Linked DNA regions of Cricetulus griseus. The protein of the gene in region 2 interacts with the protein of the main gene of each other region in a pairwise test. Links are inferred from orthologs where the notes say so. Each region holds a gene or a part of one and is shown on either strand. Other genes may lie near its edges.

Region 1 (9,841 bases), on a different chromosome or scaffold from region 2:
CTCAGGCTAGCCTCAAACTGTCAGTAAGCCTTCTATATTGGCCTCCTTGGTGCTGGGGTAACAATAAGTTTTGCAGGCCTGTTTTTAACTCTCTGGCTGAGACCCTCTCCAGTGCTGGACCCCTCTCCTCCCCAGTTTTCCTCGACCACATACTCCACTGGTTCAAGTTAGTTGGATCTCTGGGTCAAGCCACTGAAACTCAGAGGAGCTCCTAGCTCCTGACCTTGACTAGTGTGACTCAGAGCCACAGCAATGAGTGAGTGTTAGAGGCTGAGATTGGACTGGGACAGGCTTATGTGTGGGGACATCTGAGGATGATGAGATAGCCTCAGAAGAGGAGGGGCTGGCACTGGGTTTGAAAAGGAGAAGACTCCAGTGACTGGAGCCTGACTGTCTGGTTTTGGTATGGGAAGAATAAGCCAGACAGGGATGGGGTGGAGGAGGGCAAGCTGGCCCAAGGCTTAAAAATGGGGCAAGGGTGGGGGCCAAGCCAAGTCCTGAGCTAATCAGGAAGCCAGGAAAAAACGACAGGGCAGGGACTCTGGTGTCCCTGGGGACTAGAAGAGGCTGCTGACCTCTGAACCACCTGTCCCTGTATTACCTGAAGGTGTGCCTATGGCCCTCCCTGGAGGAAGGGTGGGTCTGGCCAATCGTCTGCAGGGTGGGGCAAACAGGGGGTCTCCTCCAGTGTCCAGGAGGGAGTAGGACCAGGCTGATAGGTGCTTATATTACCCACGGATGTGCCAGCATCAGCAGTCAGCTCAAAGTTTTCCTAGGGGCTAGCCACTTAGCCCTGGCCACCTTCAATATGGGAAGTGGGTGTCTGTGCCTTTAAATTCTCAGCAGGTTGAAATGGCTGATGACATCACTGGTTCCCGGGAGCTGAGGAGCTGGAGCCAGAACCCAAGGGAGCCAGGCTAGGCTGCTGGGGGCTGCAGACATGGAGGGCCAGAGCAGCAGTGGTGGTGCCAGGCCAGGTACCAGGACTGGCTTGGGACCCTTGCCTGTGCCCCATGGGGTTTCGAAAGCTGGTACACCCTCAAAGGTAAGAGCGCCCAAACCCTAGCTCCCATTCCTGGTCCCTGGCCTCACATTCCCCTACCACACACACTCTGCAGGCACTCTGGTGCCCCTGGTTAAGTGGCTAAGGGACTAGTACTTTTCTGTGCCCACCAAGCAGGGACTGGGCAAAAAATGTCACCCTGGAGGGGCAGTGGTGGGATGTCCATAGAGAAATAGAATCAGCCATGACCCGGAGGCCCCCAGAAGTGCTCTGGATGGTTGTCAGGGGACCCAGCTGCTCTCCAGCTTTGCTGTGTGACCTTGGGCAAGTTGTTTGTCTTCTCTGAACCAATGCAAAATGAGGGGGTTTGTGTCTGAAGACTAGAATTGTGACATCTGGGATGTCTAAGTTGTTAGTGCTGGAGGCGGTATGGTGATTGGGGGAAGGGGGCACACTGCGGGACACTTGGAACCAAGAAGAGTATCCAGAATGCAGCCTCAAAGAGCGGAGTTCAGGGAAGGAAGTGGAGGAAGAATTTCAGGTTCTCTGAACCGAGAAGGACGGGGACAGAGTCTGGGACTGAACTGCGTCTCCAGAGCAGGATGGGGCCACCCTGAGGCAAATGTAGACCTTCTTCTGTCCTCCCTGGCAAAGGACGAGTTCTCCTGGCCTCTGGAGCCTGGGAACATCGTAAACAGGATGGACAAGGTGGGGGAGCTATTGTCCTTCCACCTGTCAGGTATAAAGGGCACCCATTTGCCTGTCCTCACAGGTAGGGAGAGGGTAGGCAGGGCATGAGAGCACAGCCTGGGCACAGAGAGGCGTGGCAGCTGATCACACTCACTGACCAGAGGGTGGACTCACTCTCCAGCACTCAGGAAGTTCCAGGAAATGCTAGGCTAAAAGTACAGGTCACTTGCCCTAGGCAAAGTGGTGTGGTCAGGGACCCTTGCCACTGTCCCCTTGTTTTACAGATGGGAAACAGGCTGTGGGCTGAGGAACATTTACCTAAAATCACACAGAGCTGGGATGAGAATGTATATGGCAGTCTCAGCTGCCAGCTCATGACCCTGTGTGGTGAGCTGGGAATGGATCAGCACAGGCAGGCTGTGACCAAAGGGTCAGAGGTGGTAGGTGGTGTGTGAGGAGCACCTAAGGGCTACTTGCACTGTGGAGAAAGGAAAGGGCATTCAGCAAGGTGGACCCTGTATCCCCATACCCACCGGGACAGACTTGGGGTGTTGAGTCAGCGGCACTCAGTAACGGGTGCTGCAGGGGCTACAGCAAGAATTGCCCTGGAAGCTGGTCAGGGTAGAGTAGGTGCCATCTGAGAAAACCAGGCGAGCCCTCAGATTCAGGTTCATGCTCTTCTCAGTCCATTCAGGGTCTGTCTGTCCATCTATGAAAAGGCTTTTAAAGTTTAATATGGAAAAATGGCTTTTGAATCCCATCTCTTCTGAGAGAGAAACTGACCTAGAGCAGAATGGGTTGGAGTGAGATAACAGGAAGAATTTCCTTGGAATGATACGTCCTTCTTAGCTGTGTGGGTCTACTGGGGTCTATATGGAAGTGGAGACTCAAGCCCTTGGTAAAAGTCACTCTGCGTCATTGATTTGTCCTCTACAAGGTGATCTCAAGTTTTCAGCTTCCAGCAAAGAACACAGGTCCAGTACCCACGGAACCAAGGTTGGCTCTGGCACCTGTGGGACCACGAGCAGCTGTGTCACCTCCCTCAGAGGGACCAAGGCCAGCTTTAGCATCTCCCCGGCCCATCCCAGCTTCACTCTCCACCCCTGGAGAACAGAAAAGACCTCCAGTCCACCGCAGCTCCAACCTGGCTTCAGCATCTGTGGGCCAGCTGGTGGTATCTGCCTCTGCAGGACCAAAGCCTCCATCAGCCACCTCAGTCTCAATCCTGGCTCCAAAGTCTCTTGGGCAGCTAGTAATATCTGCCTCTGCTATGCCAAGGCCACCTCAAGCTACCCTGGGGCCCATCCTATCTCCAACTTCCAGGGACCAGAAGCAGTTGTCACCCACCTCTGTAGAACCTAAGCCAGCATTGGCAGCCTCGGGCCTGAGCCTAGCCCTGGCTTCTCAGGAGCAGCCTCTGCAATCCCCCTCCAGTCCTTCCCCCGTGCCCAGTCCTGCTCTGTCACCCTCTCGGGAGCAGACCCTGGCTCCAGTATCTGTGACATCCGCTCCAGCTAGACAGAAGGATGCTGTGATACCCAGGCCCATTCCCCCCGCAGAGGGGTGTCTCCAGACTCCAGCTCAGGCAGCTGTTCTGGCCACTTCTCCACCAAGGGCCCAAGCTTCCTCAGACCCCCGTCTTTCCCCCTCCTTCCGTGCCCGACCAGAGGCTCCACGCCACAGCCCGGAGGATTCTGTCCTGCCGCCGCCACCACAGACCCTGCCCTTGGATGTGAGCCCAGGCCTTCCAGAGCCTGGCACCCGCTCCCCTGGACTTCTGTCCCCTACCTTTCGGCCAGGAACCTCCTCGAACCAGACTGTGCCACCGCCTCTGCCCAAGCCACCTCGGTCTCCCAGCCGCTCCCCCAGTCGTTCTCCCAATCGCTCTCCCTGTGTGCCCCCAGCCCCTGACACAGCACTCCCAAGACCTGGCATCCAGGGTGTGGGGCCTGGCAGGTGCCCAAGCCCTAACCTACAGGCACAAGAAAGCCCAGCCTCCACCACCACCTCACCATCTTCCTCTTGGTCAGCTCAGCCTACCTGCAAGAGTGACCCCGGATTCCGGTGAGGGGCTTTCTCTCATGCAAAGTTACTGGGGCTTGAAAGCAGAGACTGGCCATTCTTTCCGGATGGTGATGCATTTTTATTCAGTTTACTTCCTAAGAATTTATCCTGGGGAGAGGGGGCACTGCTGGGCCCACTTTGCGTCTCTTCTAAGGGCCCTTATATCTTTACCTGCCTCGGTTTAACTCCCCAGAGAGAGTCCCGTGAGGAAGAAGGGGCGGGTGGGGAAATGGTGCCTAGCAGTAAACTCCCCTATGCCCCTTCCTCCAGGATCACTGTGGTTACATGGAATGTGGGGACTGCCATGCCCCCCGATGATGTCACATCTCTTCTTCACCTGGGCAGTGGCCATGACAGTGATGGTGCAGATATGATTGCCATAGGGTGAGGAGTCGTGTGAGTGGGTCCCACCCCTAGCATTTTGGCCCCCTGGAAATTCACCCTTAGAAGGAATTTCTAAAATAGCCCTCCAGTTGGATGGTTGTTCCTGTCCCCCTCACCTCCCAGGTTGCAAGAAGTCAATTCCATGATTAACAAGAGACTCAAGGATGCCCTCTTCACCGACCAGTGGAGCGAGCTCTTCATGGATGCGCTGGGGCCCTTCAACTTCGTGCTGGTAATAACACTGACACCCTCTTGGGAAGCAGGGACACTTTTGGATTCCTGCTCTCATTTCTGAGGGGACTGCTGGGTCTCTATGGCTGGGCCTTTGAATTAGGGAGATGGGGAGGTGGGCAGGAGGCAGAGGCTGGGGGAGAGCTGTATGTGGAGTGTCCCCCAACAGGTCTCCCCTGCAGGTGAGCACTGTGAGGATGCAGGGTGTCATCCTGCTATTGTTCGCCAAGTACTACCACTTGCCCTTCCTGCGGGATGTGCAGACAGATTGTACAAGGACTGGTCTGGGTGGCTACTGGGTGAGCGAGGGAAAGGGTTTGAGTGTGCCCTGCCTCACACTTGTATCCTTCACCCTGAGATTCCACCAACCCAAGAAACACCCATCACTATGCCCACTCCTTTAGACTGCACCCCTTCTCTGGCCCTTCCCTGTCCCAGCATGCTGTTTCTTTCCTTAGAACCCATCCCTGCTTAAACTTAAGCCTCCTCTGCTCCTTACCTGCTCTTATGCCCAGCCCAACCCAGGGACTCTCCTCCTGGCCCAGGTCAGATCCATGACCTGTCAAACCTCACTCCTAGGGTAATAAGGGCGGAGTAAGTGTGCGCCTAGCTGCCTTTGGACACATGCTATGCTTCCTAAACTGCCACTTGCCGGCACACATGGACAAAGCGGAGCAGCGCAAGGATAACTTTCAAACTATCCTTAGCCTCCAGCAGTTCCAGGGACCAGGTGCACACGGCATCCTGGATCATGAGTAAGTGGGTTTGCAGAGTGCGTGCGGGCTGGGTGGGTGGGGAAAGGTGGGCCTATTGACTGGTGTGAGGGATCCACTCATACCTCCTGCAGAAAAATGGAGGCAGATAGGAGTTTGGTGGGGCAGGGTGGGTCCTGGAAGATGGAGTTTTGCTGAGGGGCACTGTCTTGCTGAGGGTCCTGACCTAATTTCTCTAGACCCTCTTACTCCTCCATCCCCATTTTCCTCCATTCCTTGGCTGACTGAAGGCTCTGGTAGCTCCCACCCACTGGCACCTCTAACGGCATGAGTGTTATGGGGTTGGATAGGTGCCAGGAAGGATCTAGATTGAGCCTTTGCACCCCATGGGCCCACTGACCCCTATCCCCACCCCGGAGCAGCCTTGTATTCTGGTTTGGGGACCTGAACTTCCGAATTGAGAGCTATGACCTACACTTTGTCAAGTTTGCCATAGACAGTAACCAGCTCCATCAGCTCTGGGAAAAGGACCAGGTAAGAATCATAGATTCCCTCTCTCTCGCCTCCCTCAACCCGGAACTCAACGAGCACCTCGGGTTTCTGCCCTCACCCTCATCTGTCCCATCCTATCTCTGGATGCTTCAAGGCCCAAGCTGTTTGTTGTTCTGCCTTTCTGGACCCCCACAGCTCAATATGGCCAAGAACACTTGGCCCATCTTGAAAGGTTTCCAGGAAGGGCCCCTTAACTTTGCTCCCACCTTCAAGTTTGATGTGGGTACCAACAAGTACGACACCAGGTAAGTGGTGAGATGGGGCGGGATGAGGGAAAGGAGCCCGTGAGAATAAGGACGGGAGATAAGCCTGGGGCTGTGCTTTGACACCATCCCCAACTCAGACGCTGAAACTCTCCTACTCAGTGCCAAGAAGCGGAAGCCAGCCTGGACAGACCGTATTCTGTGGAAGGTCAAGGCTCCAGGTGGAGGTCCCAGCCCCTCAGGACGGGAGAGTCACAGGCTCCAGGTGACCCAACACAGCTACCGCAGCCACATGGAATACACTGTCAGTGACCACAAGCCCGTTGCTGCCCAGTTTGTTCTGCATGTGAGTCCTGGTTGCATCCTCCCCTTATGATGTCCCTTGGTCAGGCTGAACGTCCTCTATCTATCTGCAACCATTTCCACCTGTCCTTAACAGCATCCAGTTTTTCAAGCAAGGAGACCGTGGCTGAGACGTGGCCTCCTTTGCCCAGGGCCACACAGTAGTAAGAGGAAAAGGAAGTATTTGAACCCAAGACAGTTTGATTGCAGAGCTCATATCTTTCCACTTATCTATAACTGACTTCCTTCTTCCAAGAAATGTTTAGGGCAACAAATTAAAATTTGAATGTGGAAGCAGGAGAATCCAGAGTTCAGGACCAGCCTCAGATACATAGTGAGTTTGAGGCCAGTCTGTGGTATATCAGAACTTGTCTCAAAAAAAAAAAAAATTCACATATATAATAAGACCAGCAAAGTTAAAATTTCTACTCAAAGCCCAGGTGACATTCATTCATGGTTAATTTGGTGAATAATCATCACCTTATCATATGGCAGGCATTATGAAATGGGCAGTGATGAGAAAGGAGAGAGAGGGAAAAAAAGACAAAGCCAGGTTGTGGACATACCAGTTGGCAGACTGGCTGCCTAGCATGTCCAAGGCCCTGGATTCCATCTCAGGACCCAACTCAGTGCCACAGTCTCCTTATAAAAGATCTACAGATAAAAATATTTGGAGAAAAATGTGTCAGGAAGGGGGCTGGAGAGATGGCTCAGGAGTTAAGGGAATTTACTGTTCTTGCAGAGGACCCAGGTTCAGTTTCCAGCACCGGAATGGGGCAGCTCACAATCATATAACTCCAGATCCAGGAGATCTGTTGCCTTTAGCTTGTGTGGGCGCCCACACACATGCACAACCCTCCCACACACATATACCAACAAAGTTGTAAAAATAATTTTAAAATATTGTTTTTAAAACATGCTTATATTAAACACATATAGACTTTTCTTGTCATTTTCCTTAAACCATGTAGTGTAAACAACTACCTTCATGGCATTTGCATAATATATATGTATATACATATATAATGTAAGGATCATAAATAGTCTAGAAAGAATTTTAAGTATATAGAGGGATATACATGTTGCATGCACATACTATATACTGTTCCACTTTTTTTAGTGTGTACCGGGGAACCAAACACACTCAGATCCTCAGGGATGACTTTATTGTGTTTAGAGCTGAGGTTCCTAGTTGTCAAAGTAAGAGGGCAGTTCTAGAGTCTTAAAAGCTGTTTGGAAGACGATGTAGTCTGTGATTTACTTTGAGGTAACCTCAGTCTCCTACCAAGATGGCCGTGTGCCTCCAGTCACATAAAGTTTTGGCGGCAGAGGCAGTACTGGGTAGATCCCATGTTTCCAACCTCGAAACCTAAGCTGTGTTTTCTGGGTTTCTTGGTCTGAAAAGAAGGAGCTCTGGAGGCCAAAGAACGTTTCCCCTAGTAACTTTGTCACATGATCAGTCGTGGGCCTTAAGCCAATGCCTCTTCTGGGGATGGAGATCAGCCCAAGCCTGGCCTCCTGCAAACTCTGGGACAGGGACAGGGTGGGAGATTTTGCTATTGTCGTTTTTAGATTGCTTCTTGCTTTGTACTAGGCTCCTTTAAGCTCATGACCCTCCTACCTCTGATTCCCAAGTGTTAGGGTTATAGGCATGTGCCACCACACCCCAGCTCCTAATCAGGGATCTCAGCACTTTTGCCTCACTACCCTGTCCTGGCTGTGGTGGATAGGGAAAAAACATTATTACCTGGGGCTTGAGATCCAACTCAGTGGTAGGACATTTCCCTAGAATGGGGAAGGTACCCGGTTCGATCCCAGCATTGTGAAAACAATTAAAAGAAAAAAAAAACTTTTTAAAAAGTTAACATAAGCTGGGACTGGTGGCCTACACCTATAATTCCAGGATTCAGAATAGTGAAGCAGATGACCAAGAGTTCAAGGCCAGCCTGGTTCACATAGTGAGACCCTTGGTCAAACAACAATAAAGTTCAAAGCTGCTCTGAATTACACAGAGAGTTTCAGGCCCCCCTGTTATATACTTTCCACGCATCATCCCTTGAATGCCTTAAGCCCTGAAACGTCCAAAGTCTCCTCTCCAGTTCACTGTTGGGAGAAACTGAGGATAGTATTTATTTTATGCATGTGGCTGTTTGGCTGTATATATTTCTGTGTAGCTGGTACCTGTGGAGGCGTCAGATCACCTGAAACTAGAAGGTGAGACACCACGTGGGTGCTGGGGCTTGAACTTGGGTCCTCTGGAAGAGCAGACAGTGCTCTCAACCACTGAGACATCTATCTCTCCAGCCTGTTGTTTGATTTTTTTTAATTACATTTATTTATGTGCACAGGTCTCTCCAGCCTCTTGCTTTGATTTTTTTAAAATTACATTTATTTATGTGCACAGGTGTGCACTCCCTGGAAGAGGTCAGAGGACAACTTTTGGGAGTTGGTTCTCTCTTTCCAAATGTGGATTCCAGAGATTAAACTCGGGTCATCCTGAGGATAAAGTGTCTTTATGCACTGAGCCACCTCACAGGACTTGTTTTTTGGTTGTTTGGGGATTTGTTTTATTATTGTTTTATTTTTCTTGTCTTTTTTAGAACAGTCTCTTGTAGCCTGGTCTGGCCTCCAACCAAGTATGATCCTAGAATCTGGTCCTCCAGCATCCACCTCATACTAAGGTTATGGGCCTGGACCACTGGGCCTCTGCAGGGATTGTGACCTTGCAAAGCCTTGGAGTACATTTCAACCTCTCCTTCTGTTAGGAGCCTGGGACAGGGAAAGAATGTACTGGTTTCATCTGGAACAGCTAGGCTCAGAAGTTGAGGGAAGGAAACCTGAAACCAGATCAACAGGGACCAGACAAAGGCCTGAGGTTGGCACCACCTGAGCTCTTTCTTAGGGACACAGGTGGCCAGGACTCTGGCTGCTTGCCACTGCAGAAACTCCACCTATCAGGTGGCTCTCTGGCTGTCCTGGCTGGTCTTAGGGGAAAACACTCATGATGATGATCTGTCTCCATGGCCCTTAATGGTAACATTCAGATGGGAGGAACTGAGTTAGGGGATGGCCAGGGTCTTGTCTGTGGTCACACACCAATTTAGTGACAGAGCTAGAAAATGAACTGAGGTCTCCAGCCACCCACTTCTGGGCTTGTGCTGGCTCCAGGAAACCGGGCTTATCCCAGAATCTCATACACCACAGAACTTTACTATCATTTAGGCAGTTTGAGGAATATGTTACAAATTGCATTTCAGGGAATCAGTAGTACAGCCCCGGGTATAAAGCAAAAGCATTCATCACTGGAGAGATGGCTCAGTGATTGAAAGAATTCACCAATTGCTCTGCCAGAGGAACCAGGTTCAATTCCCAGCACCCACATGGCAGCTCACAACCATCTGTAACTCCAGGCCCAGGCACCAGGCACACACATAGTGCACAGACACACACATGTAGAAAACACTCATAGTCATAAAACAAAACTTTTTAAAAATTAAAACTAAACAAAAGTGAGCCAGGCAGTGGTGGCATACACCTTTAATTCCAGCAATCAGGAGACAGAAGCAGGCGGATCTCTGTGAGTTCGAGGCCAGCCTGGTCTACAGAGCTACACAGAGAAACCCTGTCTTGAAACAAACAAACAAACAAAAAACAAACAA
Region 2 (9,841 bases):
GTCCCTTCCTTTCCCACCGCACAGGTTGCTCACTTGTTGATCAGCTCCTTGGCCTGCTGCAGGGGAGAAAAGGGGGGCCAAGGTGAGCGCTGGGCCAGCCCCGGCAAAGTCCGATTTCTGATTCTCACCAGTCCTGCGGGGTAGGTGGGGGCGTTTATCCCAATTCGTTAAGGAGAGAACCCAAGTAGAAGGGTGACTTTGCCCAGGTCGTGGTGACAAGAAAGTACCGCAGGTTAAGACTTGACCGGGTTCCCCCGTCCCTGGTTTCTGCCACCCTCCCTCTCCGCTCACCTGGAGGTAGAGAGCCATCTGCGGCTCCTCCATGGATTGAATGGCGGACTCCACCAGCTTAGAGGAAACCTCCAAGTGGTCTCCGTACTGACGGATGAGGCCCCGCACGCGCTGCAGCTTCTCCTCTTGTTCCCGGGCCAGCGCTTGCAGCAGCTCGCCCTTGCGCTCCTCCAGTACGGCGCACAAGGTCTCGAACCTCTGGTTTAACAGTTGCTTCTGCCTGCGGCTGTTGTCCTGGAAGATCAGAGAAAGTCCGAAGGAGGTCGTGGCCCGAGCACCCCCAGAGCTGCCAGAGCAGGGTATTTTATCCCTCTCACCCCTTAAATAGAACTCAGGAGAGCAAAGGAGGAAAGTGTGATTAGGGTCACACTTTGAGTTAGAGGCACAGAACCCAGCTCATATCTTTTCAATTAACAAGGAAGACAACATATTTCAAAGCTGCTCTGGGAGCCATGTATGTCACTGGCCCTGGCTTTGCTTTGCTTTAATTTCCACTTGCTTCTTAAATAAAATAAAACGACTTAGCTACCATGTCACTGTCAGCATCATTTTTAAACATTATTTGAGTTTTATATAATTAATTTTCTGCTCTGATATGAAATTAAGCCTTATTTCAAAATGTAGACATTGGTTAGACAGCTGGAGAGATGACTCCCCTGTTAGTGTGTCCTGCTCTTGCAGAGGTCCTGAATTCTGTTCCTATATCCATGCCAGAGGGTTCACAACTTCTTGTAACCCAAGGAATCCAACAAGCTCCTCTGGCCTCCATGGGGGCTAGCACTCATGTGCACAACCCATACACAGACACACACAAATACACATAATTGAAAATAAAACAGTAAATCTAAATTTCTGAAATTTATTAACTGGAAATACGTATCAATATTCAAATATATTTAGTTAACTATATTATAAGGGTATATAATTAGTTCTTATCACATAATTTTTAATTAAATGTATTCATTAATTATTTCATGCATATATAATGTCTGATTACTCTCACCTCCCAGCCTCTTTTATCTTTTAATTTTTTATTTTGCTTGTTTATTTATTCCCACGATTTCATTGTGTGGGTGCCTGAGGAGGGCGGAGGAATTGAACTCCCCTGGCGATGGAGTTACAGGCAGTTTTGAGCCATGCAGTGTGAGTGCTGGGAACTGAACTCTGGTCCTCTGCAATAGTAATACCTTCTCTTAACTCCTGGACCATCTCTTCATCCTTACTCATTTATTTTTGAGATGGGTCAACTGGACTTTAAATGGGAAATCCTCCTGTTTTAGCTTCCAAGTGCTGGCATTGTCTTGAATTAACATGCCCTGCTTGCTTTTTTGTTGTTGTGGTTTTTTTGTTTGTCTGTCTTTCGAGACAGGGTTTCTCTGTGTAGCTTTGGAGCCTATCCTGGCCTCGAGCTCACAGAGATCCACCTGCCTCTGCCTCCCAAGTTCTGGGATTAAAGGCATGTGCACCAATACCCGGCCTGCTTGCTTATTTATTTAATTGGTTTATTTAGAGATAGTATCTCCATAACTTGCCTAGGCTGGCCTGGAACTTGCTATTATTCTACCTCCACCCCACTGGTCATCTCTATCTTATATATAGTCAAAAAACAAACAAAGCCAAAGCATAGAAGATTTAAGCAACTTGACCAACATTGCAGAGTGCTAGGATCAACCTGGCTAAAAACAATTCACCATGAGCTAGTGTCCAGAAACTTTCTGGCCAGTTTGACCAGAGGTCAAAGAGAAACAGTTCTCTTTGAATATGAGGATCCCAGACAGACTGTTGACTATTCTGTCCCTTTGTCCTCCCGGCCCAGGCTCACCTCAATGGTCTGGCACACCTCCTCCATCTGCGTGATCACTGCTTGCACACGGTCATTGCCTGCAACCAGCATCGCGATGCCATCACTCAGCTCGCTCTGTCACACACATGGGCTAGTTGTTAGAGCTGGAAGCCCCAGCCTGCAGCAGCTTCCCTCAATCCCACGGACTGTCTCCACCTCACCTATTCAGGGGCATCTACAAAGGTCTAGAAGGCTTGGAATAGTTCAAGAAACATGGGAACACATCCTGTGGATTCTAGGTGCCCCCACTCCCAAATGTGAAGGGAAGTGACAGTCTCTAATCACCACTGTGCACCAGTCTCTAGCCACCACTGTGCACCAGTCTCTAGCCACCACTGTGCACCAGTCTCTAGTCACCCACTGTGCACCAGTCTCTAGTCACCCACTGTGCACCAGTCTCTAGTCAACACTGTGCACCAGTCTCTAGTCAACACTGTGCACCAGTCTCTAGTCACCCACTGTGCACCAGTCTCTAGTCACCACTGTACACCAGTCTCTAGCCACCACTGTGCACCAGTCTCTAGTCACCACTGTGCACCAGTCTCTAATCACCACTGTGCACCAGTCTCTAGTCACCACTGTGCACCAGTCTCTAGTCACCACTGTGCACCAGTCTCTAGTCACCACTGTGCACCAGTCTCTAATCACCCACTGTGCACCAGTCTCTAATCACCCACTGTGCACCAGTCTCTAGTTACCCACTGTGCACCAGTCTCCGGCCTTGTGCTTTAACAGTAGTTATGTCCTCCACTAATTCTGAAAAATTCCTAGGGCTGCCCATTCCAACAACCCTGCCTCCCTTCTGTCCTTTTCATTCTGTGAGTCAATAGGACTTATGTTAGACCTTCTTTCTCATCCTCAACCTCCCACTCCCCAGTGCATTCTGGGTTTGTTTGTTTATATGTTTGAATGTTTGTTTGTTGTTTGCACTCTTCTGTGTTGAGTAATTCTTTCTTGTGAGAAATCCATCACTTGATCCATCCACTGGTTTTTCAACAGTTATTAATTCCTAAAAGCTCTACTTGGTTCCTTGTCAAATCTATTTTTCTGTCTGTTTTTTGTTTGTTTGTTTGTTTTGGAGTTTTTGTTTTGTTTTGTTTTTGATTGGACCTTTCTCTATTTTCTAATCTGGCACTTTGGACTTATGATCCTCTTGCTCCAGCCGGGATTACAGTGTACACCACCTCAACAGACTGTTGCATGGTCATTTTACATATGTTTTTAGTTCTGGAAATCTACCCTGGATCTTGTGCAAGGCAAATGTACTACATCTCCAATCCTACTTGTTGTTTTATTTCATCTTCATTTTTCTTTAACAACGGGTCTCCCTATATAGTCCAGGCTGGCTTGGAACTCCAAGTTGCCCTTGTGCATATTTTGCAGGGGTAACTAGTCTATTTTGAATTTGTTTTAAGGTCTAAAAACAGCTAATGGGGTAAAAAGCTGTCTTTGTAACTGAGAATAATGTAATTTCTTTATGTCAGTCTGAGCTATGAAAAATATTTTAGTATTATTTTTACTCATAAAAATTTTACAGCTAAACAGAAATCATCTTCCTGACCATCCCCAGCTGTATGTGTGCCAGTAGATGGAATGTATGTATGTATGTATGTATGTATGTATGTATGAGGTAAACACACAGGCAGTGGGGAAATACCTGTAGCTGTTTTTAGGGAAGGAATGTGGTGGCACATGAGAAAAATTACAGATAGCAGCAACCAGTTTTCATAGTCTGGGGACCTGTGAAGTCTTACTTGATGAGGTTTTCTCCAACAGAGAGTTATTCCTCTGATGGCTCAACACCTCAACTGTCAATTGCCATCTGCTGTATATTCTTGTGGCCTCTGGTAAAGCCATTGCTACCAGCAGCTCTCAGAGCCCAAGGCGTGCGTGCGCCACCACTGCCTGGCTACAGAGTGCATTCTCCGTGTATCTTCAGTTGTGAATGACTGTTGCATTGATATTAATCTAAGGTCATGCTAAGGGTCTACAATGAAGGGCTTTTCCTCCAGCTTAGAATTTGCATTTGTTTCTGTCACAAGTCTGGTGATACAATTGACTGCTTTAATATTCTGGGATTCCAACATGAGCTGAGGTTTTGGGAATCTTAGAACGCACCCTTACCAACATACCTTTTACAGGGTTTGTAATATAGCCACCTCCCTCTAGCCAGCACTGCTCATCTGAGAAACAAAACCTATTCTGCTTGCAGTGGCTCTCTGACCCTGTCCTCCCCACCCTTCCTAGGACCCCCCTTTCTTCTCATGTCCCAACCAATCTGATCTTAAAAATGACAGCATATGTAGAAGCTAACTGCATGACTAAAGACCCTTGAGGGTGTCCAGTGCTCGGTATGGAAGCCACTGCTGCCATGCATTATCTAATGATATGGTGACAGCAACCATCATCTTCACCTGGTCTGACGAAGGATGTCAGGGGCAGAGACATCCTCAAGGTTGTGTGTCAAGTCAAGAATAGTCCTGGTGCTCTGGCCCTGATCTGCTACACCTTACCTAAGCAGAATGGGAACTGTCCCAGCCTAAACCCCCTTCCCCAATCCCTCCCTGGCTAGATACCTTTTGGCGTTTGTAAATGGTGGGCAGAGGGGCCACCTCACAGTCCTTGTGGGCACCGAAGACCTTGCAGAGAGAGCAGGTGGGCACCTCACAGCTCAGGCAATAGATGTTAATCTTCTCATCTTCGTGCTCCTCACACATGAGGTGCTGTTCAGCCTTGGAGTGCAGTGGCCTGAGGACCATGGACAAGGGAGCAGCAATTTCCAGGGAGTCAGGCTGTGACCAGTGGTGAGAAACTCACACTGGGTTCTTACTTTGGGGAGGCAAAGATGCTCCAAGGAAGACTGGGCCCAAGAAGAGTCCATTGCAGGGGGGCAAAGATGTCCCACAGGACAGGGAATCATGGGAGCAGGTGAGGTTAAGCACATTGGGGTTGACTTTGGTCATAGACCAGGGGGAGTAAGATTTAACACTGGCTCCAGAGGCAAAGTGAGGCTTCCTGGATAGGAGACCAATTCCCTCCTCTCTGGGTCCGATTCTTTCCCTATTGTGGATATATGTGTCCCCACCCAAGAGCTGGATAGTTTTATGTCAACTTGATGCAAGCTAAAGTTATTTTCGAGGAGGGAGCCCCAATTAAGAAAATGTTTCCAGCCGGGCGTTGGTGGCACACGCCTTTAATCCCAGCACTTGGGAGGCAGAGGCAGGAGGATCTCTGTGAGTTTGAAACCAGCCTGGTCTACAAGAGCTAGTTCCAGGACAGCCTCCAAAAGCCACAGAGAAATCCTGCCTCGAAAAACAAAAACAAAAACAAAAACAAAAATGTTTCCATAAAATGGGGCTGTAGGCAAGTTTGTAGGGCATTTTCTTAGTGATTGATGGGGGAGGGGCCAGCCCATTGTGGGTGGGGCCACCCCTGGGCTTATGATCATGGGTTCTATAAGAAAGCAGGTTGAGCAATCCATGAGGAACAAGCCAGTAAATAGCACCCTCCATGCCTTCTGCGTCTGCCCCTGCCTCCAGGTTCCTGCCCTGTTTGAGTTTCTGATCCTCACTTCCTTCAGTGATGGACTGTGATGTGGAAGCCTAAGCCTAATAAACCCTTTCCTCCCCACGTTGTTTTTGGTCATGGTGTTTCATCACAGCAATGGTGACCCTGACTAAGACAACCCCTCTATCCCTGATGGTGCAGGCTCTTCCCTCCAGAGAGGTCAGCAGCCCAGGCAGCTTACCGGGAGGATTCCTGCTTGTAGATGTCAATAATATTCTCCACTAGCAGGTTCCGCTGAAGGCCGTAGACCCCATGCCGGTCCAGGACAACCTCATGCCTGCAAGATGGGCAGCGGAAACGACCTCCTGAAGATACAGTTGTGGAGCCCCGGGATTGCCACAGAGGGTTAGATGCCTGCAAGGACAGGTGAGGCAAAAACAGAAGTGTAGTGAGGCGTGAGGGAAGACAAGTGATGAGCACAGGAGTGGTAAGGAGGGGACATTCGCTCTCCTCTGCATCCGGTGTCCCCAAACAGCAGTCTGACAAATGCCTTTGTCTTCACCTCAGTCTCTGCCTCATCCCTGAGCCCAGCTCCTTGAGTGTTCCTGCATGCAGAGCCTCATTTTGGGCAAGGCCTGATCAGTATTGGCCCTAATGGGGTCCAGAATAGAGCTTTGGCAGGAACGCTGACACAGGCAAGGGACTGGCAGTATAGACGGTGTCCTCCAGCTTTAACTCTTTTGTTTTTGTTTTTTTTTTTTTTTTTTTTTTGAGACAGGGTTTCTCTGTGGCTTTGGAGGCTGTCCTGGAACTAGCTCTTGTAGACCAGGCTGGTCTTGAACTCACAGGGATCCTCCTGCCTCTGCCTCCCGAGTGCTGGGATTAAAGGTGTGCACCACCACTGCCCAGCCCCAGCTTGAACTCTTATGGGCCACATGTAAGGCATTTTGTGTGTGTGTGGCGGGGGGTTGTTGTGTGTGCATACATACATGTGCGCATGTGTGTTTGGCAAGATCATGTAAGCTTGTCTCAACTCCGTGTGTAACGGAGGATAACCTCGGCTTTCCAAATGCTGGGATTGTAAGTGTGCCTCCCCTATTTCCATCTCCCCATCTCTATCTATGTTTTTCTCTCTGTCTCTCTCTCTTCCCATCCCCCTCTCTCTACGTGGTCTTGTGTAGTCCAGACTGGTTCAAACACTCTGCAAGTACAAAACTGGCCTCGGACGTTAACTACTGCCTCTGCCTCCCAAATGTTGGGATGATATGCTGGGCCAGGAGAGAGCTTCTCTCTAGTCCTGGGCAGAGGCACACACACCAAGTGCTGAACAGTGAGACAGAAATTGTAACCAGGGCTGGGTGGCTCGCTCAGTTGGTAGAGTCCCAGCACCACATAAACAGGAATTATGAGTACATTTGGGAAGTAGAGGCCGGAGGATGTGGTCCACTGGAAGTCTGAGCTATCCTCAGCTACATAGGGAGTTTGAGGCCAGCTTGGGATGCATGAGGCCCTGTCTAGAAAAAATGTAAAGAAAAGAAAGGCTGCCCGCCAACATGGTGAACGTTCCTAAGATCCGCCGGACGTTCTGCAAGAAATGTGGCAAGCACCAGCCCCATAAAATGACACAGTACAAGAAGGGCAAGGATTCTTTGTATGCCCAGGGAAAGCGGTGTTATGACAGGAAACAGAGTGGCTATGGTAGGCAGACTAAGCCTATTTTCCGAAAAAAGGCTAAAACTACAAAGATTGTGCTGAGGCTTGAGTGTGTTGAGCCCAACTGCAGATCTAAGAGGATGCTGGCTATTAAGAGATGCAAGCATTTTGAACTGGGAGGCGATAAGAAGAGAAAGGGCCAGGTGATCCAGTTCTAAGCTGCTCTTGGTATGGAGACAATAAAATCACAATAAAAGAAACTCATCTCAAAAAAAAAAAAAAAAAGAAAAAGAAAAGAAAGAAAAGAAAGGCTGGACACACATGGCACATGCCTTTTATCCCAGCACCCAGGAGGCAGAGGCAGTGGATCTGCATGGTGAGGATAGCCATGCTGAGAGACCCTGTCTCAAAAACAAAACAAAAGAAACGACAATTATCTGGATAATTCTGGGAAATCGATTCTGGCACTAGAGTCAAGGCACATAGTCCCTTGTACAGCCCTTGACAGAACTTTCTTCTGAAATCTATCCAGCATTCAACCTCAGTAAAGGTTGTTCTTTTTTTTTTTCCAACCTCAGTAAAGTTTTTTTTTTTCCAACCTTAGTAAAGTTATGGGCTACATTGGATTGCTCATTTTGCATCTGATGTTATGCCAAGGCTATGGGTTAAAGACAGGAGCAAGGCCCCACCTCCACCCCATTACCCCTTCCCTAAGGACAGACAGCCTACACAGTGCAAAGGGCAGTTAGAGGGAAGTTGTAATGCAGGCTTAGCAGAGGCCCCTACACCATGTATCTTAGAGATCTGCTCCAGTCCACCCTAAAGGGGCGTCCTAGCATAGTGCTGACTGAGGTGGTGTCACCAGACCTGGTGCAACCAATCAAGCTCTCTCTCCCTGAATTTGGCTTAAGATCCAGAAGCCAAGTCCACTACTGAAAAAGGCTCATGGAATTGGGCTAACAATTCATCTTTTGTTTTGTTTTGTTTTTCGAGACAGGGTTTATCTGTGTAGCTTTGCAGCTTATCCTGGAGCTCGCTCTGTAGACCAGGCTGGCCTCGAACCCACAGAGATCAGCCTGCCTCTGCCTCCAGAGTGCTGGGATTAAAGGCTGAGAACTCATCTTGCGGCCATCCTGGAAACTATGAAACAGAATTTATTAACACCGAAGGCTGGTCTACAGAGAGGTGAAAAGAATCATTTATTGGGACAGGCAAGATGACTCAATGGATAAAAGCATTGCCACCAAACCTGATGCTCCGAGTTTGACTCTGGGACCCACTTTGTAGAAGGAGAGACCACCTACTCCACAAGTTGTCCTCTGTCCCCCACACCCACTCTGTGACATTCGTTCACCCATATAAGTAAATAAATGTAAAATAAATAAATAAGACATTCTGTCTCAACTCGCTCAGCTAGAGCAGTGGTTCTCAACCTCTGGGTCATTACCCCCTTGGGATTGAACAAGCACTTTCATGGGGCCACCTAAGACCATTGGAAAACACAGATATTTACATTACAATTAATAACAGTAGGTGAATGACTGGCAGGGATGCCCCGGTGTTCCTTTCTTCAGAAACTTTGTCTGAGTTGGCAAGACCTGTGATATGAAGGCCACGCCGCCGAGCCCCCTTCTGGCTGGGTGTGGCCAATGACTGTGTTCTGGAACTACAGATGTAAAGGTGTTGTGCAGTGTTAGAAGTGTCTCTAGTGGGAGGAAAAATGCCCTCTCTTTCCCATGTCCCCTTCTCTCCTATGTGGAGTGTAGACTTGACCTGAAAAACCATGCTGGGCCAGGGTGGAGTAGACACACATTGAGAATGGCAAGGAGGTCAAGAAGCAATTGTCTCAGGAGACAATCCTGGGCAGCCCTTCAAGCTTGCCCTTTGGAGAAAAGCAAGTGTCTACTTTAAGTTATTGCTCACTTGAGATGTGGGAATGGCCTAACCCAGGGCTTTTCAAATATTAAGTATCTATCACTGAGCTACATAGCCCAGCACTTAAAGCCACTTGTTTAGTGTTTTCTTCCATTTACAGTAAAACCCCAACCCGCTCAGCTAGAGCAGTGGTTCTCAACCTCTGGGTCATTACCCCCTTGGGATTGAACAGCCCTTTCATGGGGCCACCTAAGACCATTGGAAAACACAGATATTTACATTACAATTAATAACAGTAGAAAAAAGTAGTGATGAAGTAGCAATGAAAATAATTTTGTGGTTGGGGTGGGGTCACCACAACATGAGGAACTGTAAAGGATCCCAGCATTAGGAAGGCTGAGAACTACTGAGCTAGAGACTCATGAACTCATAGAAAACAATGGAAATAGTAGTCACCATTAACTTTGAATATTTGTGAGTATTTCCTACAGGAATCTCTTTGTGTACCAACTGGAAGATGAGATTGGAAGGACTGTTAGGGGGTAAGGCAATATTCCATCACACTCATACTACTCAAGTCCTAGACTCATTCTTTTCTCTAGTGGCCAGGCAGGAGACATGGCCCTACCAAGATCAACAGTTTGGTTTGTGGGGTGTAGATAACATTGCCAT
Region 3 (9,841 bases), on a different chromosome or scaffold from region 2:
GATTATTTGTCTCAGGTGAAATCCTGAGTACAAACCCAAGTACTATCTTCTGTGAGAATGAAGACAGGGACCATTGATCTCAGTAGAAATGTCTTGCAAGGGACCATGCTCCCCATCATGCGGAGTCTTAAACCATGAAAGTGTTTAACAGTTTTACAGACAAGTTTTTCCTGTGTCTCATATAGCACCAGGAAAGTTACTGGGTGTTCTTTAATTTCTTATATTGTGTGCCACATTCTACAGTTATCATTTTAACTCTCAAAACAAGATATAGATGCGATTGTATTCATTTGCTATTATCACTGGAAAGGTTACAACTCATATGTCTTAATACTACAGATTTCTGCTCAACGGAGGATAAAGCTAGGTGACTGAGGAAAAGCAGAAAGCATACATGGTGTTTTTTATTCACACAAGTGCCTGACAGCCTGGGCTCTGAGCTGCACAGATGAGCTGTATCTCACAGACACAGCAACCGAATTCCCTGCTCATTCCACGCCAGCTCATCTCCCTCCTGATGTCTCACAGGCCTTGCAATTGTTGAGCACAGACTGGAAAGCAGATGTTAGGACAGTCCATCCTACACTGAATCTCCTTCGAGTTGCTGCTTAGCTGTAGGGCCCTGGGTTTCTCTATCAATGATCCCCATTCCAGAAGTGCCAAGGCCATGGTCCGGCTGTGTTTCTGTCCAGGGACACCCACCCCCAGCTCCTGTGCCCAGCCCCATCTCACTGAGTCTCAGTGCGGAAGAGGAATTCAGCTTGGGTGCCCTGTGTGTTGTGCAGCAGGAACAGACGGAAGAGGTTCTTGTGAGGCCCGTGCAGCTTCATTTCACACTTCTCCCCTCGAATGGAGGAGAATGGAGCATGGTCAAACACCAGGAACCGGCTGCCCCTGCAAGATATGTCTTTTAAGTCTGATTCTATAGCTTTTGTACTTCATCCACCCTCACACTCATAGTCTTGGATTCAAACTTCCTGATCTTAGCTGTTACAGACTCTTCATATAAAACCCATACGAGGGCTCAACTTGCTCTCAATGCAATAATCTCAGTGTCTCAGCCAACCCTTTACCGCCATAGTGCTATTCACTACTTTAAAGAGTTGAAGTGATAAGAACCAATGTTAACTTTCTAAGATCCTAATGACCAGAGTTTAAGCTCTGAAACTAGACAAGTGGCTGTATTGGCTAATATGTTGGGCATGACCCAGGGAAGCCACAGATAAACTTATTTAAGAAGATGGTGTTTCTTTGCGGTGGTTTACTCATGTCTATAACATGGGACAGGTCCGGTTCTATGATTTCATGATGTAATTTGGTAACATTAACTCCCCACTTCTGTTCTCTAAGCTATGACTCATGACTCACACTGTGAACTGTCTGAGAAGGGATCTGTTAGAAGCCCGTCATCTGGTGTCCCTCCAGCCCTATCCCATTCTATCGTATCCCCTGGCCTCCCATCCCAGCCACTGACTCTCGGGGTCGGGACAGCAACAGACAGTCATTGAAGAGATGCAGGTGGACTGGACGAGTGGTCAGTTTCCTCCTCAGCCCTGGGGAGGCACTGAACTCAAGGGCCACCAGCTCCCCACTCTTCACCAGCCATCGAGATTGGGAAATGAGCGGGAAAATCTAAGATCAGGAAGAGAGAAAAGGCAGGTCATGAGCTTCCTCTCAGTCCTGCCCAACCTGTGGATCACCAATTCCAGATCTTCCCTCTTCCTCGGAACCAACCCATCCAGATCCTGTGTCTCTCGGAACCCTCTAACTACACGGCACTAGTGTGTGGCTCCTGTGTTCCCATGCTCAAAGGAAGGTGACTCTGATCTAAAAAGTGATGGTCTGGGAGCAGAAGTCTGTGAGCCCAAGTAGAACACATTAATAAGCAGGAGGGCACAACATGACATCTTAAAAGTCAAAGGATAGGGATAGGGATGTTTCCCTAATGATGGTCAGAGCCAAGACGGACAGGCAGAATCAGGCATGAAGCTGAGGATAAGATCAAGGTGGGATCTGCTGGGACCTGGGACCTGGGCAAAAAGCTTCAGCAGAACTTAGAGAAGGACTTCCCTTCTCTTCTGGGGAAGTAAAGGTGGTATCTGCAACACACTAGGAGTTCAATGTTGAAGATCAATTTTCTATTTGTTTGGACAAGAGATTTTGAGGTTTTTGGCATGTTGTTTCTGGTTAGGTTAAAGGTGATCTGATAAAATAAGTGAGTCAACCATTCTTCATCTCTAAATTCTTATATAGCCTTATTCTGGGAAATTCCTTCTGCCATTTAGTGAGTGCTCCTCCGGGAACAATTGCCCCTCCCCCCTTTCTGATTATCCTGACAGTTTCCTTATGCACATACATCAACAGATTTACATCCTCTACTCTTACACCAAAGGCAATAAAATCCACACACAGTGCTACGCCTTCCACCTAATAACGTGTGTTGTAAAGTAAAAGGATCATTTGCATATTCCAGAAATGGAGACAAGGGCAGACAGAACCAGGAGGCTAGAGGTGATGGAAGCAAGATGACTCTGTCAGAAGATGGCCTCCAGGACAAGCTAAAGAGATCATAGGCAGGGAGGTGTTTGAAGGACAGCTCACTTTGCACTCAAACTCAATCTTCTGGCTCAGGTAGATGAGCTCCTCTGTCCGCCGCATCCTCTGCACATTGTTGTTACAGTCTCGGATCAGCTGACAAAGGAGCAGGGGAAAGGAAGGGTAAGATCACTGGGTTAGTGTCTCGAGTTTTCAGTCCCCCTAAAGCTGTCTGGGAAGATGCCTGCAGACCTCTGTCTTTTCTACCAGGTTGGGGTTGAATGAAATAGCATCCAAGTCATGTTTTAGGTTGCTGGAATACTTTACAAGATTTCAGAGAATACATTGGGATGAGGGACTGTGGTGTTGGGAACATAGTGGCTGGACATGGAATGTGAAAAAAATAAGTTTAGTGCATACAACAAGATGGCTGAGCTCTCCTGCTAATCAGGACCCATGTCTCAGACCTTTTTCAGTCATGGTACCCGGAGAAGGGGCGGGGGGAAAACTTACCCCTGAATGAGTACAAATAGGCTATTGGATGTGATGGCTGCCTACCTTCTCCAGGGCATGGTGTGCCTTTGTGGCCTCTGCCTCTTCTGAGGAGCCAGGCTGCGTTCTCTTCAGAATGTTCTGTAGAACAAATAGTGGGCAAGAGCCGGATGGGAGGAAGGATGGACAAACAGGAAGAGATAAGTCAGGGATATTTGATGCAGAAGTCAGACACCCAGTTCCAAAAGCAAAGGTTTCTGAGAAAGAAAGGTGAGGGCAGTTGGGAAACCTCTGACATCCTCCACACGAGGTGGAAACTTCATAGAAGAACGGATGATCTTTTGCCTACAAGCAATCCAAGATCATGTCTTTGAGTCAAGGAAACTGGTGCCCTACCTGGAGCAGCAACTTAAGACGGGTGATACGCTGGAAGGGCAGTATCAGGAAGGACTTGAGAGACAGGCGCTGGCAGATGGGGTCGCTCTCCAGCTTCTCCAAGACCTCTCGGAAACTGCTGTTACTGTTCCTATGTGAGAAGCAAGACTCAGGTGAGGAGGGAGGTGGGGGTAAAGGGGCTCAGTGAAGGCATGGGGAATGGGATTTAGTGGAGGATCTGGGTTGGGAAGAACATTAAGAGCCCATGTGTAGGGTCCAGATATGACTGCAGAGAGGACCTGATAAGGAGAGTGGCCGAGACGCCAGCTGACACAGTGGACAAAAGAACAAGTCCAGTGCAAGGTCACAGCAATGTCCACGAAGGGTAGGGATAGGGGTCATTCTCACATTAGGCTTTGGAAGGTGCGCTCCTGATAGGTCTGGTTGGTGACATAAGGCAGGTAGACTCGGCGGAATTCTGGGGCATGATTCAAAACAACATCACAGACTTGGAAGGAGAAGACGTTGTTCTCGAAGTTTTCTTCTAGGTCGGAAAGGAACCTGCACAGTATTTAAACAGTCTCATGAGGAACGGGGGCCTCAGCTAAGCACACTTCAGCCCTGCACATTGTGAGAGCAGCTCCAGTTTCCATGAATCACCAGCTTCTCCTGACTTTCCTCAGCTCCGCCCTTGCTAGGCAGCACATCCTTCCCAAGGCTGGCACTAGCTTATTCCTGATCAACTTAAATAGAATTCTAATAGCCTATTCCTTTTCCTTCTCTTCTGGTTTGCCAATCTTTCAGTGATCTTTTTTTTTTTTTTCTTTTTTTTTTAATACCTTGTGTCCACTGCAGGGCACGCCCAGAATGTATGCCAAAACCTCAATCCAGGAAGCATTTCTCCTCACTCATCTGTTAATAGAACCGTGAACCCTCACACTATCTCCTCTTCTTAGTTTTTCCTACCCCTCTTCCTTGGAGACTCTTCCTTTCCAGACTCTGACAAAGACAAGGTTTCTAAGAGGGAGAAAAGAAGCTGAAGATTCAATGGCTACAAAAAGTGAGGCTGAGAGAATGGAGATTGGAAGAAGTCTCACGTGGTGCTGACATCGCGCACGTCCTGTAGACGAGAGAAGAGCCACTGGTGATCCTGGGTGGACAGGGTGGCCCGGAGTTGGGCTGAATGTTGGAAATGATCCACAGCTATGTTTAGACTGCGAAGGTAAGATGCCTCTGACACAATCAGCTCAAATTTGGCCTAGAGGATTGGACAAGAGGAAGATTAATGAATACTTTTATGAACTTTCTGGTAGATACCAGTTGTTGAACAATGTTTTAGGGTGGAGCATTGAATAAGGTACATCTTTTCATCACTCACAGTCACAAAATTTAGCTTAGTCTATCAGGGATATGTAGAGTATTTGAGGACGTAAGATTCAACCTAGGAACTGAACAATATGTGTGATTCTCTATACTTTCAAGAAACTTATTTATTTGTAGCCCATTCCCTAGGGAGGGAATACTATTGCAGCCCAGATACAGCAAGAAGGGCCTAGGTCTTCCCCCAAATGATATGACAGACTTTGACGGTCCCCCGTGGAGGGCCTCACTATCCCTGGGGAGGGGGGGGGAATAGGGGAGGCCATGGGAGCATGGGAGAGCAATGGAATGGGGGGATGGATATGTAAATATGAGTGCCTCTAAAATAAATATATATAAATATTTATTTGTACACATACACAAATAACTATAATTTCACAGATATGTTAATTTACCACATCACAGTAACAATTTTACCAACAAAATATACTGTGCTATACCTCATGACAAGGTAGTTAATACTTTACATAAGCACAGTGAAATTTATTTTTAGAAAAGAAACAAGTAAGTTGAGCATTTCTGGAATTTTTATTAAACAAACAAACGAACAAAACAAGAAAAAGAAAAAAGAAAGAAAGCCAGGGAAACCAGTAGGAGTGAGAATGAGGCATGAGGCATGGTGGTTACATAAACAACAGAGCACAACATGAGCTTACAGAGGTGTGGAAGGAAAAATGTTCCAAGTATAGGAATTAGCTGGGGAGGTTTTTTGTTTTTTGTTATTATTGTTGTTTTTTTAATGGGAGTGTCTTTTAGGAAACTGTGGAAAAGGACTAGAAGAAGTAGGAGCAATGTAGGGAAATGGCAACATGTCTAGATGCGAGCTGAAGGCCTGCTGGTCTAAGTATGGGAAGAAGTAGACTGAGCTAAGCGCCAGGCAGGCAGACCTGGAAGACTGCCTATTTGCTAGAAGTGGGGCATATAGGAGGAGCCAAAGCCAACACCTTGCTTTCCGGTTGGGTAGTGGGTGGGATGATGGAATTGCTGATGAAGCCATAGTGCTCTGAAGTAGGAAATGACTTAGGGAGGAAGGTGACAAGCTCAATTTGAGGTCTGAGGAGAAATGGAATTGGAAAAACAAGGATATGCGAAAAATGTTTTCATTTAAACCGGAAACCAAGCACTTAAGAATGTGTATGGAGGCTCCAGCAGGGGACAAAATGACTCAGACACAACCAAAGGAAGATTCCTGTCACGTCTCAGCAAGGAGCTTCAGTATATATACATCCCTTGCTGATCACTGAGATAGCCAACCACACAGGAATTTCCTATACAACCCCAGACTGTGACACCAACATTTACTCTCCATATAATGTTCTAAGACCATATGGCTTAAGTGGGCTCAGTTGAACTTCTGAAGCTTGGGGTTTGTGTTGTTTTGTCCTTTTATATAGATATGGCGACCAACCCCTACACATACACACTCCAGAAAACACAATTGTTAAAAGGAATGGAGTCCGTGAAGGAACATTGCAGACTCCCAAGACGTTACCTCATGGCATGAACATGTGTGTATAAGATAATGAGATAGGTCTCTCATCTCACAAAGTCAGGAGGGATGGGCTGGAATCCGGACCCTTGCAACTTCCTAGCTTACTGGAGACTTACGGAGGGGTAGCTAGAGTTCATTTGGTCTTCCCATTATTTGATGGGAAGAAATATATACAGGACAGGTTAGTGATTTTCTCAACACGTGTTTTATACAGCTTGTCTGAGGTTATCCGGCTAGTACATGAAGCCGGGTCTGCATCATCAAAATCCAAATAGTCATATTTTCTGACTGATTATTCTGTAGTAACCATTTATCTTTTTTTTTTTTTTTTTTTCTCCTGGTAACTCCTTGCGTCTGTTTTAACAAAGGGAAACAATGGCTTAGAGAAAGCACATGATTTGGCCAAAGTCAAGCAACACATATTAACGAAGGCTTCATGTCTAGATCATTGGTTGTGGAGCCTATCCCACTGTGTCCTCCTTTTTTCCTGGGAAGAAAGGTTCCTCCTCCTGTTTCAGACAGATCTGAAAGCAGAAACTGCTTATGGAAAACTTACTAATGGTGGCAGCTTAGAACCAGATAAGCATTGTCCCCTGAAGTCTTGATACTGGGAGTGATGACCAAGCAGGGTCATATTAAAGCCTTAGAGGGTCATATTAAAGCCTTAGAGAAATCAAAGAACCAAGGGACAACTTCCGGTTGTCCTCTTCAAAGCAGCCAGCACAAAGACTGAGTGTGTGGCTTGTCTGAAATCCTTGTACAAGTGGAACGGAGATAATAGCTCATCACGAAGCAGCAGTGATGACCTTGCTGTCACATCCCTCCCAACAGATTCAGGGGTATGGTCACTCTGTATGAGCCCAAGCCAGTACAGATAGGAGCAGATGGCATATGCACGGATGTGGGAAGCGGCGAACGTGCCCGGATTGTGAGAGCAGTTCACATTCCTCAGCATGGCGGTGAGCAGTCTCTGAATACAGGTGAGTGTGGGCTGGGGACAGTCTGCTCTTGGTGGCAGAGGTGAGGAGGAGATAAAACATTAGCATATATGATTTTGTTCTCCCTCCTGTCCCCTACCCTGCCCTGGGTGGTACCTCTTGCAGTTTTTGATCTTCATGGGTCATGGAGAGCAGCACAGTGCTGTTGCGAACCACAGGGATTTCCTGCCAGAGAGAGCCACTGGAGGCCATGGACAGACGCTGCAGATAGGAGTCTGAGGGCACCACTGCCTTTCGCCGATGCCGGGGGGAAGAGAGTCCAGGTGCCTCGGCCAGGCTGTCTAGTCGCTGCTGGCTCTGGATCTCTTTATTCAGAACAACATCACTGTACTCCTGATAAAGTAGCTGGGCTACGGGTGAGGATTCATGGGAGGAGAAAATCCTGAGAAAATGAAGTGAGTGGAGGCCCACAGCAGAAACTGCCATCTACAGCTGACCTCTGGCAACCCTTTCATCTGGACACCACCACTTTATTGCTGGCCGTCAAGAGTACCTGTCCCTCCCACTTTAGGGGGAAGCACACCCGAGCCTAGAGATCTGTTCCAAGGTACTCACAGGAGTTGATGAGCTTGGAGCAACGCCTTGAAAAGCCTCCCATCCCTTCCTTTGGTTTCTTCTCCCTGTGGAGTAGGCAGGTTTTGGGGTGCTTGATGACCAAGAGACAGAAGACCCCCAAGTGACTTTAGATGAAGAAATCTCTAACCTTCCAGACTCTCGATAGGATGTCAGGACCCAAGGAACAGTGGCTTCAACCTGTCCCCATCATGTATCTTTCCATTCAACCTTTCTCCCTTATCTCAAAGTCTAGAGAAGATCCCGAGGACTTTGGGGGAACTTATAAATTCAGTGAGACATGTCCAACAATAACCCCAGATGTTATATGGAAGGAGACTGGTTTCTAGCCATATGCCTGAGGAAGACAGCTGACCCATACATAGTAGGCAGAACTGGGCAGGTCCAGACATCTCCCTTCCCAACAGTCCTGGTGCCTTTCTTTTCCTCTCCTTACTTTCTGAAGATAGAGGCACCAGAAATTCTGGGTCCCAGTATTATTATGCACTGAAGTCCTACTAAGGAAATTTTTGTGTCATAGATAAAGACTGTACAGTTGAATTTGTGAGGAGCCAGGACAACTCACCGGAAAACAACAGAATCCGAAGAGCTAGGAGGTCTTCCCATGCCTGGACTTCTTAAATCTGCAAAGGGAAATGGGTGACATACAGGGAGAAGTGAAAGGATGAGCAGGAATCACAGATGAGCAGAAGGAAGACAGTTCTACTAGAATCTGGAAGAGAAGACAACACTAAAGCCAGACGCATTCTAGGAATCCAGTAACCCTGTGTCTTCAGCTAAACCACCAACCTTCACACGAGATGGGAAATGCACAAAGAAAGGGTGTCTAAAGTTCTTCAAGGCAGAGAGCAAGAAGGCACAGCCAATGGAGGGAGTTGGGCAGCTTCAGGAAGAGGTAGACTTTGGGGGAAGCCAGAGATGGAAGGGCAGAGAGGGAGGACGAACAATCTGATGGCATCATGGGGCCGTGAGTTCCTGAGTTGACGGTAAATGTGCAGGCTAGTGAAGCTGCGGAGAGAACAGTGGAGACCCTGGAGATGGCAGAACTAGAAGAAAGGCGTCGCCTAACGAAGATCTTTGTGCAGTCTCGGCTCCCCCCTTACCTGAAGAGCTCTCGGGCAAGAGAGAAGGTCTCCGCAGGCCTTGCCGGTTCCAGCCCTTGTGCTTGGTAGATGCCTGGCCAACAGCCTGTTCACTGACACTCTCTGTTCTCACTGGGTCCTGCCTATGGGGCCAGCTGGACGTCTTCTCCAGTTGGTGGTGATTGAGTTTTTCTGACTTTCTTGGTGCTAAAGCTGACCTCCATGTGTCACTACAACCCTCCTGAGGGGCTGATCTCCTGAAAGATCCTCTCACTGGGGGCTCAGATTCCTCAGTGAGCCCTGACTCATCTTTACCGGCAGGTCTCTGAAGTTCCGGGATCCAGGGAGTGGTAGGGGAAGAGGGACTTAGAAGGTTTGTCATGTTGCTGAAAGCCAGGCCAGGGGACACTTCACTGTTACACCTACTGGTGGGAGCCAAAGATTCTGTTGATCTTCCTGCGGCCGGGGGCCAGGAGGTCCGTCCAGCACAGAGAGTGGAGACTGGCCAGTCTTGGCCAGTGGGTCTTGGTTTGGCTTGATCCCCTGAATGTATAACTCCCCCCTGGATACTCCTGCTCCTCCCCTTGGATTTCGGGGGTAATGGCGGTGGTTCAGAGGGAGGGACTGGAGGTAGAGGCCTGTATATCCTTGGTATACTAGAGGGGGAGATGGGAGAATTGTGCTCAGGCTCATAGGGAGTTGGGGGTAATGGTTTGTTGTATCTCGGCCTTGAGATGGAAGCCTGAGTGTGGTGGGGACTTTCTGGGGTGGATGGCAGAGGGCGGTGCTGTCTTGCCACAACAGACTCAGGAACTAGGGGAAATGGGCCTCTAGGAGATCCATGTACCCCCGAACTCAGGGCCAATGGAGGAGGATGACTATGTCGCTTCAGTGTGGGGGCTCCTGCATGAAGA

What was found.
Region 1: the proteins of Trim54 (region 2) and Inpp5j interact in binary tests that used the Homo sapiens proteins (3 or more experiments, as listed by UniProt). The two-hybrid records come from large-scale screens. The link is inferred for Cricetulus griseus from reciprocal best matches to the Homo sapiens genes TRIM54 and INPP5J.
Region 3: the proteins of Trim54 (region 2) and Arhgef5 interact in binary tests that used the Homo sapiens proteins (3 or more experiments, as listed by UniProt). The two-hybrid records come from large-scale screens. The link is inferred for Cricetulus griseus from reciprocal best matches to the Homo sapiens genes TRIM54 and ARHGEF5.

The regions. Positions count from the first base shown.
Region 1 is NW_023276807.1:101,393,472-101,403,312, forward strand, and holds the start of Inpp5j (phosphatidylinositol 4,5-bisphosphate 5-phosphatase A), read left to right. Parts: upstream 1-940; coding exon 941-1,045; intron 1,046-2,630; coding exon 2,631-3,757; intron 3,758-4,027; coding exon 4,028-4,141; intron 4,142-4,264; coding exon 4,265-4,373; intron 4,374-4,554; coding exon 4,555-4,671; intron 4,672-4,951; coding exon 4,952-5,127; intron 5,128-5,507; coding exon 5,508-5,619; intron 5,620-5,772; coding exon 5,773-5,882; intron 5,883-6,002; coding exon 6,003-6,186; intron 6,187-9,841. UniProt on the Homo sapiens protein: Inositol 5-phosphatase, which converts inositol 1,4,5-trisphosphate to inositol 1,4-bisphosphate.
Region 2 is NC_048600.1:13,247,377-13,257,217, forward strand, and holds part of Trim54 (tripartite motif-containing protein 54), read right to left. Parts: intron 7,559-9,841; exon of another isoform or gene 7,513-7,558; coding exon of another isoform or gene 7,195-7,512; exon of another isoform or gene 7,184-7,194; intron 6,056-7,183; coding exon 5,883-6,055; intron 4,883-5,882; coding exon 4,711-4,882; intron 2,210-4,710; coding exon 2,114-2,209; intron 526-2,113; coding exon 292-525; intron 57-291; coding exon 34-56; intron 1-33. Other genes in the region: 60S ribosomal protein L36a-like, read left to right, coding at 7,195-7,512. UniProt on the Homo sapiens protein: May bind and stabilize microtubules during myotubes formation.
Region 3 is NW_023276806.1:226,138,440-226,148,280, forward strand, and holds part of Arhgef5 (rho guanine nucleotide exchange factor 5), read right to left. Parts: coding exon 8,949-9,841; intron 8,469-8,948; coding exon 8,411-8,468; intron 7,893-8,410; coding exon 7,828-7,892; intron 7,623-7,827; coding exon 7,369-7,622; intron 4,661-7,368; coding exon 4,500-4,660; intron 3,964-4,499; coding exon 3,811-3,963; intron 3,554-3,810; coding exon 3,424-3,553; intron 3,169-3,423; coding exon 3,094-3,168; intron 2,692-3,093; coding exon 2,602-2,691; intron 1,633-2,601; coding exon 1,475-1,632; intron 895-1,474; coding exon 733-894; intron 1-732. UniProt on the Homo sapiens protein: Guanine nucleotide exchange factor which activates Rho GTPases. Strongly activates RHOA. Also strongly activates RHOB, weakly activates RHOC and RHOG and shows no effect on RHOD, RHOV, RHOQ or RAC1.